3 linked regions of the Macaca fascicularis genome follow. The protein of the gene in region 2 interacts with the protein of the main gene of each other region in a pairwise test. Links are inferred from orthologs where the notes say so. Each region holds a gene or a part of one and is shown on either strand. Other genes may lie near its edges. The genes, in order: VTI1B, LDLRAD1 and PLN.

Evidence for each region.
Region 1: the proteins of LDLRAD1 (region 2) and VTI1B interact in binary tests that used the Homo sapiens proteins (3 or more experiments, as listed by UniProt). The two-hybrid records come from large-scale screens. The link is inferred for Macaca fascicularis from reciprocal best matches to the Homo sapiens genes LDLRAD1 and VTI1B.
Region 3: the proteins of LDLRAD1 (region 2) and PLN interact in binary tests that used the Homo sapiens proteins (3 or more experiments, as listed by UniProt). The link is inferred for Macaca fascicularis from reciprocal best matches to the Homo sapiens genes LDLRAD1 and PLN.

The regions. Positions count from the first base shown.
Region 1 is NC_088381.1:135,555,239-135,559,636, reverse strand, and holds the end of VTI1B (vesicle transport through interaction with t-SNAREs homolog 1B), read left to right. Parts: intron 1-717; coding exon 718-779; intron 780-2,572; exon of another isoform or gene 2,573-2,799; coding exon 2,800-2,896; coding exon of another isoform or gene 2,897-2,949; 3' UTR 2,950-3,129; downstream 3,130-4,398. Other genes in the region: ARG2 (arginase-2, mitochondrial), read right to left, coding at 3,358-3,563. UniProt on the Homo sapiens protein: V-SNARE that mediates vesicle transport pathways through interactions with t-SNAREs on the target membrane. These interactions are proposed to mediate aspects of the specificity of vesicle trafficking and to promote fusion of the lipid bilayers.
Region 2 is NC_088375.1:180,659,090-180,663,745, reverse strand, and holds the start of LDLRAD1 (low-density lipoprotein receptor class A domain-containing protein 1), read right to left. Parts: upstream 2,773-4,656; 5' UTR 2,740-2,772; intron 2,058-2,739; 5' UTR 1-2,057.
Region 3 is NC_088378.1:22,484,006-22,488,661, forward strand, and holds the start of PLN (phospholamban), read left to right. Parts: upstream 1-2,211; 5' UTR 2,212-2,308; intron 2,309-4,656. UniProt on the Homo sapiens protein: Reversibly inhibits the activity of ATP2A2/SERCA2 in cardiac sarcoplasmic reticulum by decreasing the apparent affinity of the ATPase for Ca(2+).

The sequences.
Region 1 (4,398 bases), on a different chromosome or scaffold from region 2:
TGGGGGTATTGCTTGAGCCTGGGAAGTCAAGGCTGTAGTGAGCTGCGATTGCAGCACTGCACTCCAGCCTGAGTGACGGAGCGAGACCCTGTTTCAAAGAAATAAAAGCCACGGAATGAGCTGAGAGGTCAGCTTACCAAGGCCACTGGGGAATGGGAACAGATGGCAGGTAGCCATCTGCTGGAGGTGAAATATCCTCCAGCTGTCCAGATTAGTAGCAGGCAGTTGAAAGTTACATGGAGGTTCTTTTCACAATTCAATGCAACTGTCTCTTAAGAGGGTAAAGAAAAAAGATAACCAGATCCCAAAAGTAGTAACAGGCCAGCCTACAAAAACAAATGCCAACTCAAGAGGCTGTCCTGGAATTTGGCTGATGAAATTCAAATCTTTAGTTGCTCTAGGTCACTGGCTGTCCAGTCTGCTGGCTACACTTGAAGCCTTCCCTTTTGGAGTACCCACGGTAGAAGATTAGCTCAGTCTCAGGAGTCCATCCCCAGTAGCAACCTAGGAAGACGATTCCTAAGCCTACTTGATGAGTACTAAAATATCTTGTCCTTTCCAGGTTCTACTTACACTCGAAGGCCATCATTTAAATTGGCTTGATTTCTTGGAATTTTTCAACATATATTCCTTAATGCCTAGTGTTAATCTAGGGATATTCAGTTGTACAGAGTATACTTTTTAAAGAGGGAAATAATCACTATTTTCTCTTCTCAGCTGGTAAACACAAGTGAAAACTTGAGCAAAAGTCGAAAGATTCTCCGTTCAATGTCCAGAAAGTAAGTTTTATTAAAGTCATGAAATTTCTCTTAACTCAATGGCTTTCAACCAAAAAGCTTAAAATAGTGACTTACGAAGGTCCTAATAAAGCACCTCAGCAGCTGACGATAGTCCCCATATACTCAGTACCACCCAACAGAACAGAATAAATACACTAAGGAATATGGTCTTGGATCATTAAATAGCTCAGGATAAAATCATTTGTTAAAAGTATATACTGCTTTGACTTGGAGCAGTGAAAAATTTCTCCACTGAAAAGATATTTAATCACAGCTAATGTTCTTTAGAGAAGGCAACACATGGGAATAACAGCTTCCTATTCCTTGAAATATATTTGTATAATCTCGGCCGGGCACGGTGGTTCACACCTGTAATCCCAGAACCTTGGGAGGCCGAAGCGGGCAGATCACAAGGTCAGGAGTTCAAGACCAGCCTGGCCAAGATGGTGAAACCCGTCTCTATTAAAAATACAAAAAAATTAGCTGGGCATGGGGACGGGCACCTGTAATCCCAGCTACTCAGGAGGCTGAGACAGAGAATTGCTTGAACCCAGGAGGCGGAGGTTGCAGTGAGCCAAGATGGCACCCCTGCACTCCAGCCTGGGGGACAAAGCGAGACTCCGTCTCAAAAAAAGAAAAAAAAAAAAAGAAATATATTTGTAAAATCTTGATTAGAAAGCAGTTTTCACCTGCATAGTACTTGCTTTTGGCTCTGCTTGCCCTTCATGGGAGTCAGCTCCTTTTCTGGAAGTTCTGTCTTGTAGGGAAGAAGTAGACTTTTAAAAATAAAATCCTTGGGGAGTTGTCAGGGTTGGTGGGCAGTAACTGAGCCAAGATGCTGCAGAATCTGCTGGCACTGTCAGGTTGCCCAGAGGACCATGAGCGTTGCTTCACGCAGGCATTTTGAAAATAAAGGTCTAGAAAACACAAGCTGTTTCAGGAGAAGAACAGAATTCCAGTGCATCTAAAGGGTGGTGGAGCTGATGACCTCCTGTATAGAGCCACCGTGGTTCTCAATTAGTGAAACAGCATATGCCATGCATCAGCTGACTGTGGTTTCATTTCCCAAGAAACAGGATTATCTTCAGTCATCACAGCAGTGACTTGATTCAGTTTCATTCAGCTCTCTATGGACTCCTAGTCTGATAAATAACTAAGTCCTTCTTTGAGGATCAAACTTTGAATTGTACTAATTGCCACCAATAAAGTAGTCTTTATCAAAAATAAAAACCAAAATCGTTGAGTGCTAACAGACAAATCCAGGGCAGAAATATTGCCACTGAGGTTGAAGTTGGGGGTAAGAGGGTATTGTACGTGACCTTGGACACAGGTGGCCTAGCATGAAACAAAACTACAACCCACTCATGGAACTAGCAGGAGGGGTGGGATTTTCCTACAGTGATAAATTCCTTGTGGAACAGGGAGAAACCTAGAGTGAACATGAGAACTAGAGGTTGGATTCTTTGTGTAAACAACAGATAGTAAAATTTTTAAGCTCCTATAGTACCTTTATAACATATCCATTTGGGTTGATATAGTAAAATTTTTAAGCTCCTATACTACCTTTATAACATATCCATTTGGGTTGATAGGAGAGCAAAGGGAAAAACAGGGCAGAGGGAAGAAGTTTCCAAGGGATTGAAAGGTATTACCCAGGCTTCTAGTTACTTATCCTAGGGCTGGACCCATCCTGAGCTGGATGTATATATGATTACTTTTTCTAGCTAACCCCTCTTTCTAGAAAAGCTATTTTTAAAGGAAGTAACTACCATTTGAACACATTTCAGAATCCATTTTTATGCTTTGGTTTTTATTGTCTCAGTTTAACATTTCTGTGAGGTAGACAGTATTATCCCTAAATGACAGCTAAAGAACCTTATGAGTATTTCCTGGTAAGTGGCTGTGTGATCAAACAAACAGCCTCAGAGTATCCAGCTGTGGTTCCAGGTCTAACCCCAAAATGTTTAGAAGGAAGGTTATCCAAACTTCTGACTACTCTCCACTTTGCTTCTCTTTGTAGAGTGACAACCAACAAGCTGCTGCTTTCCATTATCATCTTACTGGAGCTCGCCATCCTGGGAGGCCTGGTTTACTACAAATTCTTTCGCAGCCATTGAACTTCTATAGGGAAGGGTTTGTGGACCAGAACTTTGACCTTGTGAATGCATGATGTTAGGGATGTGGATGGAATAAGCATATTGCTGCTGTGGGCTAACAGTTCAGGGATGCACTGTGTAGCCAAACTGTGGGAGGAGGGAGGAAAGATGGAAAACCACTTAAATGTGAAGGAACAGCAACAAGACCAGTATGATATACCAAGGTAATAAATGCTGTTTATGATTTCTTTAAATTTACATAGTACTGTAGCATATTAATACCCTGTGAACTGCAAAAAGCCAAATACATTTACAGTAGTATTGGTCACCAAAATAGAGGGGAAACTTTACAATTGTGAGAATGTGTAAATGTTCTCATTAAGGCAGTATTGACCCAGACAACCATTTTGTATCTGTCTGTCCCCTCAATGCCTCATAATTCTGGAATGCCCGTTGTGAAACATGTCAGTGCACAGTATATCCTAAATTCTCACACGTGCTTGATTTTCTGATTCATCTGGTGAACTGGGAGTAGGAAGTTGGCCATAGACAATATGCCCTCCTTCTCTTGTCTGACCAAAACTTGAAGCAATCACATCCACTGCCAGGTTAGCTGTAGTCTTCGCCTCTTCCTCTGAGGTGGCCAACTGAGGATTGACTTCAACAAGATCCAGTGCTGACAGCAACCCTGGAGGAACAAAGTGTGACAAAACCTCAAATTCCCTTGCTGCTACTCTCAGTGAGGGTCATCCCACTGGGACAGGGAGAACAAGCCAAGGTAAAAACAAGAGTCCGTTTTGTAGTAGAAAATACCTATTTTCAGGAAGCCCCTTGCACCTCATCCTCTTGGCCGTGAATTTAAGTTAAAACACTGTTATGCTACAGTAGATTAAAAGAAACCTTTAAGATAACGAAATAAACCATCTTTGTTCAACTAACATAATAGGCATAATTGTCAGGCCTTCTGGAAAAGGAAAAGGCTTGGTGTTGGGTGGGGGAGGTTTTCATCCTGCTTGTTGGCAAAATGTATGCCATCTCCAGTATGACTAGGAACCTTCCAGATGCCTGCCTGGAAATGAATCAAGTATGAAGGCAGAGGAAATCTCCCACTTTGACTAGCTAAACTCCATTCCCACTTTTGAACTCTAATGTATTATCTTCATCTGTTAGAGCACCACACCATATGCCCTGAAATGTAGTTATTACTGCAAGCCTCATTCTCATCCCTGCAGGCCTGAGCTCTGGAGGCAGGTTCCACATCTAACACATCTTTTGTCTCCCAGCAGACTGACCCAGTATCTTGTACTTGATCAAGAGAAGATTCAGCCATATGTTAGTTATTTTATTTGGACTCCAGTTACCTTCTGTTAAGGTTTGAGAACTTCTGTCAAAGTTCTCAGTATTGTTCCTTTGGCCTGGAGCAAGTGGAAGGGAAGCTTAAACCAGAAGAACCTATCCAGACCTGCTAACATGCTTACCCTTCTAAATGCCTCATTGCTCTGTAGAAATTAACTTTTTAGTTG
Region 2 (4,656 bases):
CAGTGACAGGGGACCTCCCTACTCTTGTAGAACTGCACTTTAATTCTCCTTTAATTCTCTCCTGCTTACAAAATAATAAAAGAAGGCTTTACTGAGGACCTCCTGGGTACCCTGCTGTGCAGCTTGCCCTGGTCCTTGTCCTCTGCAGCTTGTTATTGCACTTAGAAGGCAAGGCATGGACATGTCTGAAGGAGCATGGGAGCTACTGACCTGCCACAGGTACCTCAGAGAAAGGGGCAGGAGCAGGTGTGATTCATCCCTGTGACCCCAGAACCCAGCCTAGAGCCAGGCATGTGGTGGGGGCTTTTGTTTTTTGCATTTTTTTGAGATGGAGTCTCGCTCTATTGCCCAGGCTGAAGTGCAGTTGCATGATCTCGACTCACTGCAACCTCTGCCTCCCGGGTTCAAGCGATTCTCCTGCCTCAGCCTCCCGAGTAACTGGGATGACAGGTGCCCACCACCATGCCTAGCTAATTTTTGTATTTTTAGTAGAGACGGGGTTTCACCATGTTGTCCAGGCTGGTCTTGAACTCCTGACCTCAGGTGATCCGCCTGCCTTGGCCTCCCAAAGTGCTGGGATTATAGGTGTGAACCACCGTGCCGGGCCTGGGGCTTTGTGAACACTGTGAATACGCTGACCCAGGGGCCCGGGAGACAAGGGAAGGCCCCCAGTATGGGTCAGTCCAGGTTATTTCCAATCCATTCACATTCCCAATGCAGTGTCCTCAGAAGCAGAGTGGGATTTCCACAGGCAGAAGAGGAGGGTGCAAAGAGAGGGCATTCCAGGCAGAGGGCGTGGCAGGAATAAAGGCCTGGTGGTTGCAGGTGGCCTGGGGCGGTGGGACTCCAGGATGGAAGTGCATTGGGAGGGGAGACAATAGCAGGAGAGGCAGCATAAATCTAAAACCTGTCATCTCTACAGCCCTAGCTGGTGGCTCTTTGGCCATCAGCAACCTGGGTAAACTCAGGTAACCAGGGAGGCAGCGTGACTCCGGGCAGGGAGAGGTGTCCTGATCAGCCAAGCAGCTCCTCAAATATTTGTGCAGCACAGACCATGCGCAAGGTGGGGCAACGGGAGAACCCGCGGAACCAAGGCCCCTGCCCAGGTGAAGCTGTTGCACTTCAAAGCCAGAAAGCCCTTAGGTGCCAGTCCCCTTCCTGGACCGATGAGGAGAAGGAGGCGATTCTTTCCACAACCGCGCCCATCATGAGTCAGGACTTGGAAATAAACAGACACCAGCTTGGAGCAACAGAAGCCCTGGGGCTTTGTAACCAGAGACACCTCAGTTCACATTTGAACCCTGCCCTCCAACCTCCCGGCTGTGTGACCTTGGCCTGGTTACCCAACTTCTTTTCGTTTCAGCTGCCTCATCTGTTATTGCCCCATAACAGGGTCCCTGTCTCAGAGCTGTGCTGAGGATTAAAGGGATCGTGCAGCACCAGGCACATAACTGGGGTGGGATTCTTCACAGCTGGTATTTTAATCTGCCTCTCTCAGTGTGTTTCCTCATTGATCAAATGTGGGCCAAGCCAAGGCATATACAAAGCTCAGTACATGTGTATTTCTTCCTTCTTCTGTTTTCAGAAGGGTGAAGAGAACTGTCCTGGTCACACTGTGGGCCAGTGGTACATAATAGGGCTAAATAAATGTGTCACTTTATCCCTCAGAGGTAAAGAGAATTGCCCAGGTCACCCAGTGAGTCAGGAATTTGGTGCTGGTTCTTTTCCCTGTGTTAGAGGAGAGCACTGTATGCAGTTTGATGCCTGTGAGGTAGGCAGCACACAGTAGGTGCTTAATACATGCATGTGCGTGGAGAGAATGAATAACCCTATTAAGCAAGTGACTGTCAGCATGGCCGGCCAGGAAGCTGGGAGCAGACATTAACCTGGAAGCAGAGGTCTGAAGGAAAGCGGGAGCCTCGAAGCCTCCTCATGCCTCTATAGCCAACTGCCAGCTTCAGAGGAGCCCCACAGGGCACTGGTCCCGGGCCCTCCGGTTCTTTACCTTCCCCTCCAGGGTGGGCTTTGGGTCCAGCAGCAGCGTAGTCATTCTCTCCCTGCCCAAGAGAACAGAGTGAGGGGTGGGCTTAGGTGAGGTGAGCTCCAGCCTCAGGGAGGCAGACAACAGGGTTTTCAGAGGGGTCACTGAGAGAGTCTTAGGTGGAACCATGGGTCCCTCACACCCCAGCATGCTTACACCCCAGATGCTTCATGCCCGCTTCCTATCTCCACACCTTTGCCTGTGCTGTGCCCTCTGCCTGGAATGCCTTTTTCTCTGCTGTCCCCCTGACAAACATTCATCCTTCAAACCGGCTTGGGCAGCAACTCCTGGGTGAGGCTTTCCCTGATACCCTCCTCCCCAGTAAAGCTGGCCGCTCTCCCCTCCCCTCCACCCGGCTCCTCTGTTTCCATACCAGCACTTGCCACCTGGACTGTATAGCTGTGTCACTGGTAGGGTCCCCTACACCCTGGGAGTGAGCCCCGGGGCAGGCCGGGGGCTGATTTTCCTCCGTGTCTCCCATGTATGCCCACTCTGTACTGCCCACTCTTCATCCCAAGCTTTGCTCTCCCAAGACCAGGAGCCTGGTCAGGGCAACTCTTTCCTGGGGACAGCTCTCACCTGGGGACAGCTCTTACCTGGGGACAGCTCTCACCTGGGGACAGCTCTCACCTGGGGACAGCTCTTACCTGGGGACAGCTCTCACCTGGGGACAGCTCTCACCTGGGGACAGCTCTCACCTGGGGAAGACCTTGTTCATGTCTTCAGCTTCCAGCTCCCTGGCCAGGGCTATGTGCAGAGAGCTCAGCACGGGTTCCCTGCCTTGTCCCCAGGGCCAATCCGGAGGAGGGACAGGTGGGAGGCCTTGTCCAGGCCACAGCCTCCCTATGGGCAGTCCCCTGCCACCTGCCTTCCAAGCAGAGGCAAGGAAAGGAGCGCCCCGCTCCAGCCAGGCTATTCCCTCATCTGCCATCTGACAGCAACATTGAGAGGCTGGAATCTTCATCCCTGTTCCACAGATGAAGAGTCAGAAGTTCAGAGAGGGAGAAACAGCCCCAAGTCTCACAGCACATGGGAGGAGTGAAACCCAGAAACTTTTCAGGAAGTGCATTGTCCTCCACATCAGTGATGGAACCGGAGGAGCTCAGGTTCCAGGGGTATGAAGATGCAGGCAGAAACTCCCAGAATTAATGTTTCTGTGGCTAGAAAGTAGGGGTCATTTTCTCATTGATGTTCTTCTGTTCAACTACATAGGTAACCTAGATTGAAAGAATATGCATTTTCCACTAAAATTATAAAGCAAAAGTAATTTTAAATTATTTCACTTAGAAACGTGGCAATGTGAATTTTTACTGTCCCTGAGGTGGTGCCCGAGGTAGGGAAGAGGTGGGAGGTTGGTTGCTTGCCTGAACAACCCCTTCTATGCCCCCAGGGAGTGGGTTTCCCTAGTAGCCTGTCCCACTGCTGAGCAAACCAAGGCCCTGGAATCTTGAGGAACAGGTCCAAGGACCCGGTCCAAGGGAGGAGAGGTGTCTACCTCCAGAAATGAGCTCAGGAGTTCTTGCACCTGCCTCTGATGCCCATAGATTTTCCAACCTGCAATCAGCCTTTTCTTTTGCATTGGAAAATAAAATGATGAATCCACGTGGGGCCAAGTGGGAGGCGCAGACACAGGGGCAGCCCTTGGGAGGCAGGAAGTAACACTCTGAAGAGCTGAGCCCTCGGCCAGGAGAACGGGACTCTCATTAGGGCCCTACCACTGGCTCTGACGGGCTGCTCACTCCCCTTCCCTGTGCCTCAGTTCCTTCATCTAGAAAATAAGGATGTAAACTAGATGAAGGGGGTGTTTTAGTTTAAGGTTACCCAGAATCAGACTGTAAGACAAGATGTGAGGGCAAGTAGATTTAACTGGGAGTGATCCCAGGAAATGCTGGTTGTGGGATGAGGGAAATGAGACAGGGAAGAGAAGGATCCAATAACAGGCGTGTTATGAAGCAGGTTCCCGCTGTGGGCAAGTGGAATTTAGCCCTGCTGGGGCACTCGGGGAAGCCAGGGGAGAAGATGCACCTCAGAGTTATCCCACTCAAGGTCGGGGGAACTGGGGTATTAATCTGCCAGCTTCTGCCAGTCCTGGTTGAGAACGGCCAGAGGAGGCCAGGCATGATGGCTCATCCCAGCACTTTGGGAGGCAGAGGCGGGTGGATCACCTGAGGTCAGGAGTTCAAGACCAGCCTGGTCAACATGGTAAAACCCTGTCTCTACTAAAAATATTAAAAATTAGCTGGGCATGGTGGTGGACACCTGTCATCCCAGCTACTCGGGAGGCTGAGGGAGGAGAATCGCTTGAACCTGGGAGGTGGAGGTTGCAGTGAGCCAAGATTTCGCCATTGCACTCCAGCCTGGGCAACAAGAGCGAAACTTCGTCTCAAAAACAAAAAAAGAGACTAGCCAGAGGGTGTTCATTCCTTGCACCTCTGGGCTGCCTTAGGAAAGGAGATGCCAGTGTTGGCAACTTGGCAACTGCATGCTAGGCTAATATGTCCTGAAATGGAAAGGGTTGATAGCATGGGCAGGGCACCCATGGTCCCTGCTAAAGACACTAACTAGATTTTATATGGCATGCCAACTGCAACTGATGGGAAAAGGCTCTCTGGAAC
Region 3 (4,656 bases), on a different chromosome or scaffold from region 2:
AACTTTCTGTTTGGGCAATAAAAACAATGTTTAGTTAAAATGAAAATATAATACTTCCTAGAGTTCCACGTGGGATCACCATCATCGACATCTTCACTAGCTAACCCAAAGGAAAAAGGTAAACACAAAAACTCCCCACTCTTATACCAATATAAAAGTTAATTTTTTGAATCCATTTTCCAACTATGTCACACACAGTTGTTAGTATCCTTCTAAGGTGTATATATGCCTATGTATATTTTTTAAGTAAACTTGTAAACTCGTGGTAACTAGGGCATATTTTATTCAATCTATGGCAGCTTCTTGGTTTATCCAACTAAGTATTACTAATTCCATTTTCTTAGAATGAGAAGTTCTTAGAACAATGATCTATCACCTAAATTTCAAATGAATGTATAACTGGTAGACAAACATAAAGCAGACTTTCTAAAACTATTAACAGTGCTCAAGAATGCACCTATTTTCATCTCAAAAATTTCTTAGTTACTATAGGCTACTCTAATGAAAGCTATATTCAAATTATAATTTTTTCCCACAATATGCCAATAGATTAGGAATTATAAACAGACAGATCTGCATTTGAATCCTCAGTCTGTTCTTTAGCGGTTGGTTATCTCTGACAAATTACTGTAAACCTCTTTAGGTTTCTAGGTTTTATATTATCAATCATCATTGGTAACTGATGGTACTGAGAGATCCTCATTATGTAAGGATTGAAAGAAAAATGGTTGTAGCACTAAGAAAAGTAACAAACATTATTCATGCGATTTCCTTAACTTGGGTTTTACTTTTAAGTTGTAAATTTTCCCTTGGCAATGTTCACAGAGTATCTTTGCTAAAATATTATTTTTCACTTAGTTTTAAGCTGATTCTTTAAATAACAAATGATTTGCTCTAGAGATGGATTTTCTTTCTTTGGAAGAAGCCAAGATCATCTCCATTTAAGGGCACATAAGCAGCTGCTGCTACACATTTTAGTTACCCATAAGAAAGTGAAGTGGGCTAAGTTCACTCTGTCATAAGCATTTAAAAAATTAAAGATTACAAGTACCTCCTCTAAAATTAAAGAAGAGATTTAAGAATTAATATTTTCAAGTGTGGTGACTTAAGTAAATCTGACATGTAAGACAACAAATTAGATAAACAGAGGAGAATGATGCCCGGCTTTACAAAAAAATTATTTCCCCATTTCTACTGTAAGATAAACTGTTCTAGGAAGTTCAAAATATCCTCACTTACTAGTATCTCATTTGTATAGTAATTTTCAGGAAAGCACCTGCTAGATTAAATGAGGCACATCCTTTTAAAAACATTACAAAACTTAAATTTCAACACATCAAACCTATAAAGCCTCATTAACTGATATGTAACTGATTTGGAATCTGTAATTATTTCTTTTTTGCTATAAAGTTGCCCTTAATACTGCATCTGTTTATAAAAAATTTATTAAGATTGTGTAACAATTTAATGCAACTGTTTAAAAAAATCTTAAATACTTAAAAGTAGCATATTGTTATTTTGGGGGGGATTATATGTATCAGTTTAAATATAAGAATTACCATTCACAAATATATTGTTAAACTGCTAATTGAAGAAAACACAAATGAATTAAATACATTTATTAGTTCTTTAACTGTAAGATAAAAATCATTTTTTAAAACAAAAAGCAGTTACTAGCCTGATTTCCTCATACACACTCCTTCTTCCATACACACAACAAAATAAGAAAATAGGTATAAAATTTGATTGTGTAAAAATATTTCACTATTGTCTTGTTGAAAGCTAACATTATGAAGACGTGGTATTAAAGCAACAGCAGCAAGAATTCAATGAAAGTTGTTTTGCTTATACTTGTGTTTATTTTTCTCATAATTAAAATTCCTGTAGTAACTATTTTGGCTCTTCAACATCTTCACCATTAATATTCAATTATCTCTAAGCCTGAAGATGCATGAATCTTTAACAAAAGCTTTCTACCACCTCAAATTTACTTTGTTTTTTCATTTATCTGCCATATACTGTTTTAAATTAGAAACAAAAGATGAAGCACAAAGTGTTAATGACTTTTCCATACCTAAAGTAAGAAGTTCTAAAGTTTGGTTGTGCTGAGACTAAGACTATGGCTAACCAATCGAAACTTCAGAATTCCTATGTGACATCATAAGACCTCCCTAGAACACTTTTTCTCCTCCACCTACTGCAACTGTTCCCATAAACCGGGTGACAGAGTCAGAAAACTCCCCAGCTAAATACCCATAAGACTTCATACAACACAATACTCTATATTGTGATGATCACAGCAGCCAAGGTAAGAAACAGATTTCACTGACTTTGGTAATTCTTACTTTCTGTAATTCTTTAATTCCTATAATTTCTATAATCTGAACTTTTAAGATAAGTTACTTTTATTAATATCAGTTCAAACTTAAGCAATAAAATGACATGACAAAGTGCTTAAATTTATAAATGCTTATCCATTTAGTGACAGTAAAAATGAGACAACTTTGAAATGAAAAAGGTCATATTCATCTTTGATCCTGGTTATTTGTTTGTCATTTTAATTTAACTTTCACTTTTATTTTGCTTTTCAAATGTGAATTTCTGCCAATTAAAAAAATCTTCCAATTATGTTACCATATTTGGCAGCAGTGGTTTAATTTCTCCACACAAAAACAATGACTTAATTTTGTTATTTATTGCTCTGCTGAGAAACAGTGCAGAACTGAGTTATTTACATTTGAACTAATATGAATAGTCATTTGACTACAAACATGCATATTATCAGCATGCCTACTGCAATATCATCATAATTTCATACAGTGAATAATAATGAAATGGAGCTTAAGAATATATAATACAAGCTACTTTTAAAGTGCCCTTGAGGATGTTTCCCCTCTAAAGTCCAGTCACCTTTTAAGAAACATTTCTAAAAATTCCATGCTGTTAATAAATTGAGTTACTGATATTAAATTCAATATTGTATCATAAAGAAGTTTAGAAATTTTAAAACACTTTTCACAAACACACAAAAATCTGTTAGAGAATAGACACTTTAAAAAGTTATTTTGACACATGAATATTCTTAAGTATCTTATTTTCACACAAATTTGATTAAATGGATTTCTGCCTATTAATGCCTATAATTTTGTCAAGTTATTATCCTCCAGTGTTACTCCATTTCCTCTCTGAGATTTAGAAAGACAGGAGAAAATAAAATAAATGCCAGGAATGGAGATGCCACAATCAATTTTATGACTTCCGTTTGAATTCTACCCTATTCTTTAAGTTACAATCCTCAATTTAGTAAATGAAACGTTTCCTCATTCTCAGATCTCTGTCAGGGCTTACAGAAAATTACATATATTTTATTTATTTTAACTTTCATATTTTATATATATGTTAAAATTTACCTCTAAAATTCTCAATTCCCATGACAAATGTTAACTCTCTTGCTCACTACAAATACGAACTTTGTAATTCTGTAAGCGGTTTTCCTTAAGACATACAAAAACATAATTTTTGTCTACCATTGAGGTATCCTAATTGCATCTCCATATCTCTATACTCATAATTTTCCTTTGCTATTACACAAAAGTCATTCAGTGTAGGTGTCTTATATGCTTATTTGTGCATTTTTATTCAAATATCAAATTACATTCTCACACTTCAAATTGGGTGTTCATGAGTTATTTTATTGTATCAGAATTTCGCTTTATCACATATTGCTCTAAAAAGTACACAACCTCTGGATAGAGCAGAAATTCTATTAAAGTTACCCTTAGCTCACTAGTATGTCTCAGTTAACAGAAATTCCAGTTACAGAGACCGTTAAAATTTCAAACATAATGTGGTAGTACCATACATTATGTCCCAAATAGTTCATCTATACCTTAAGTTGCCAGTTAAGTATTGTCTTTGTTTATGAAGACATGTGGTTTAAAAATAAGTGCTTAAAAAAGTGTTAGATGAAATAAATGGGAAAAATATAAAATGTTTAAATTAAGAAGTGTTAAGTTTTATAAACACATGAAAGAGTCAGAGTACATGCTTTACTAAAAGGCGTGACAGCACTATCATTTCCCAAAATCAAATATCAAATCTATTTTATTTGTATTTTAGTAGGCATAAAGGAAAATAATCGCATTTGGGTATATAATCATATCTTTAATTAGCGAGATTAAGAAACAATAAGAAAATATTGCATAAACACAATGGTTTCAGAAAATTTTAATGTATTTTAATGTTTTAATGTACTAATTACACATGTAATACTAAATTATGTAATATATTAAATTTTTAATTTAAAAACAAATTTTAAAGTCTAGTTACCTCTCTAAATTAGACAATATATTACCAATCCCAGAAATGAGGGGGGCCAATTAAAACTTCTTCTTAAAGAACAATTTCCTAATGTACTGGTGTACACAAATATTTTATTTGGTCCTCTTAATTATATATTTGATACTGCATCCCTATTCTACAATTTAGGAACGATGCAAAAAGGTGAACTGCTCAAGATCACATAACTAAGAAAACAGGGAAACCTTAGCAGAAGTTTAGGTTTTGTCACTAAGCCACATGCACATCCTCTATATATTGACCAGCATGGCTTGAAGTAAATTGTGACACTGATAAACCAAATTTGAAAGCCCCCAA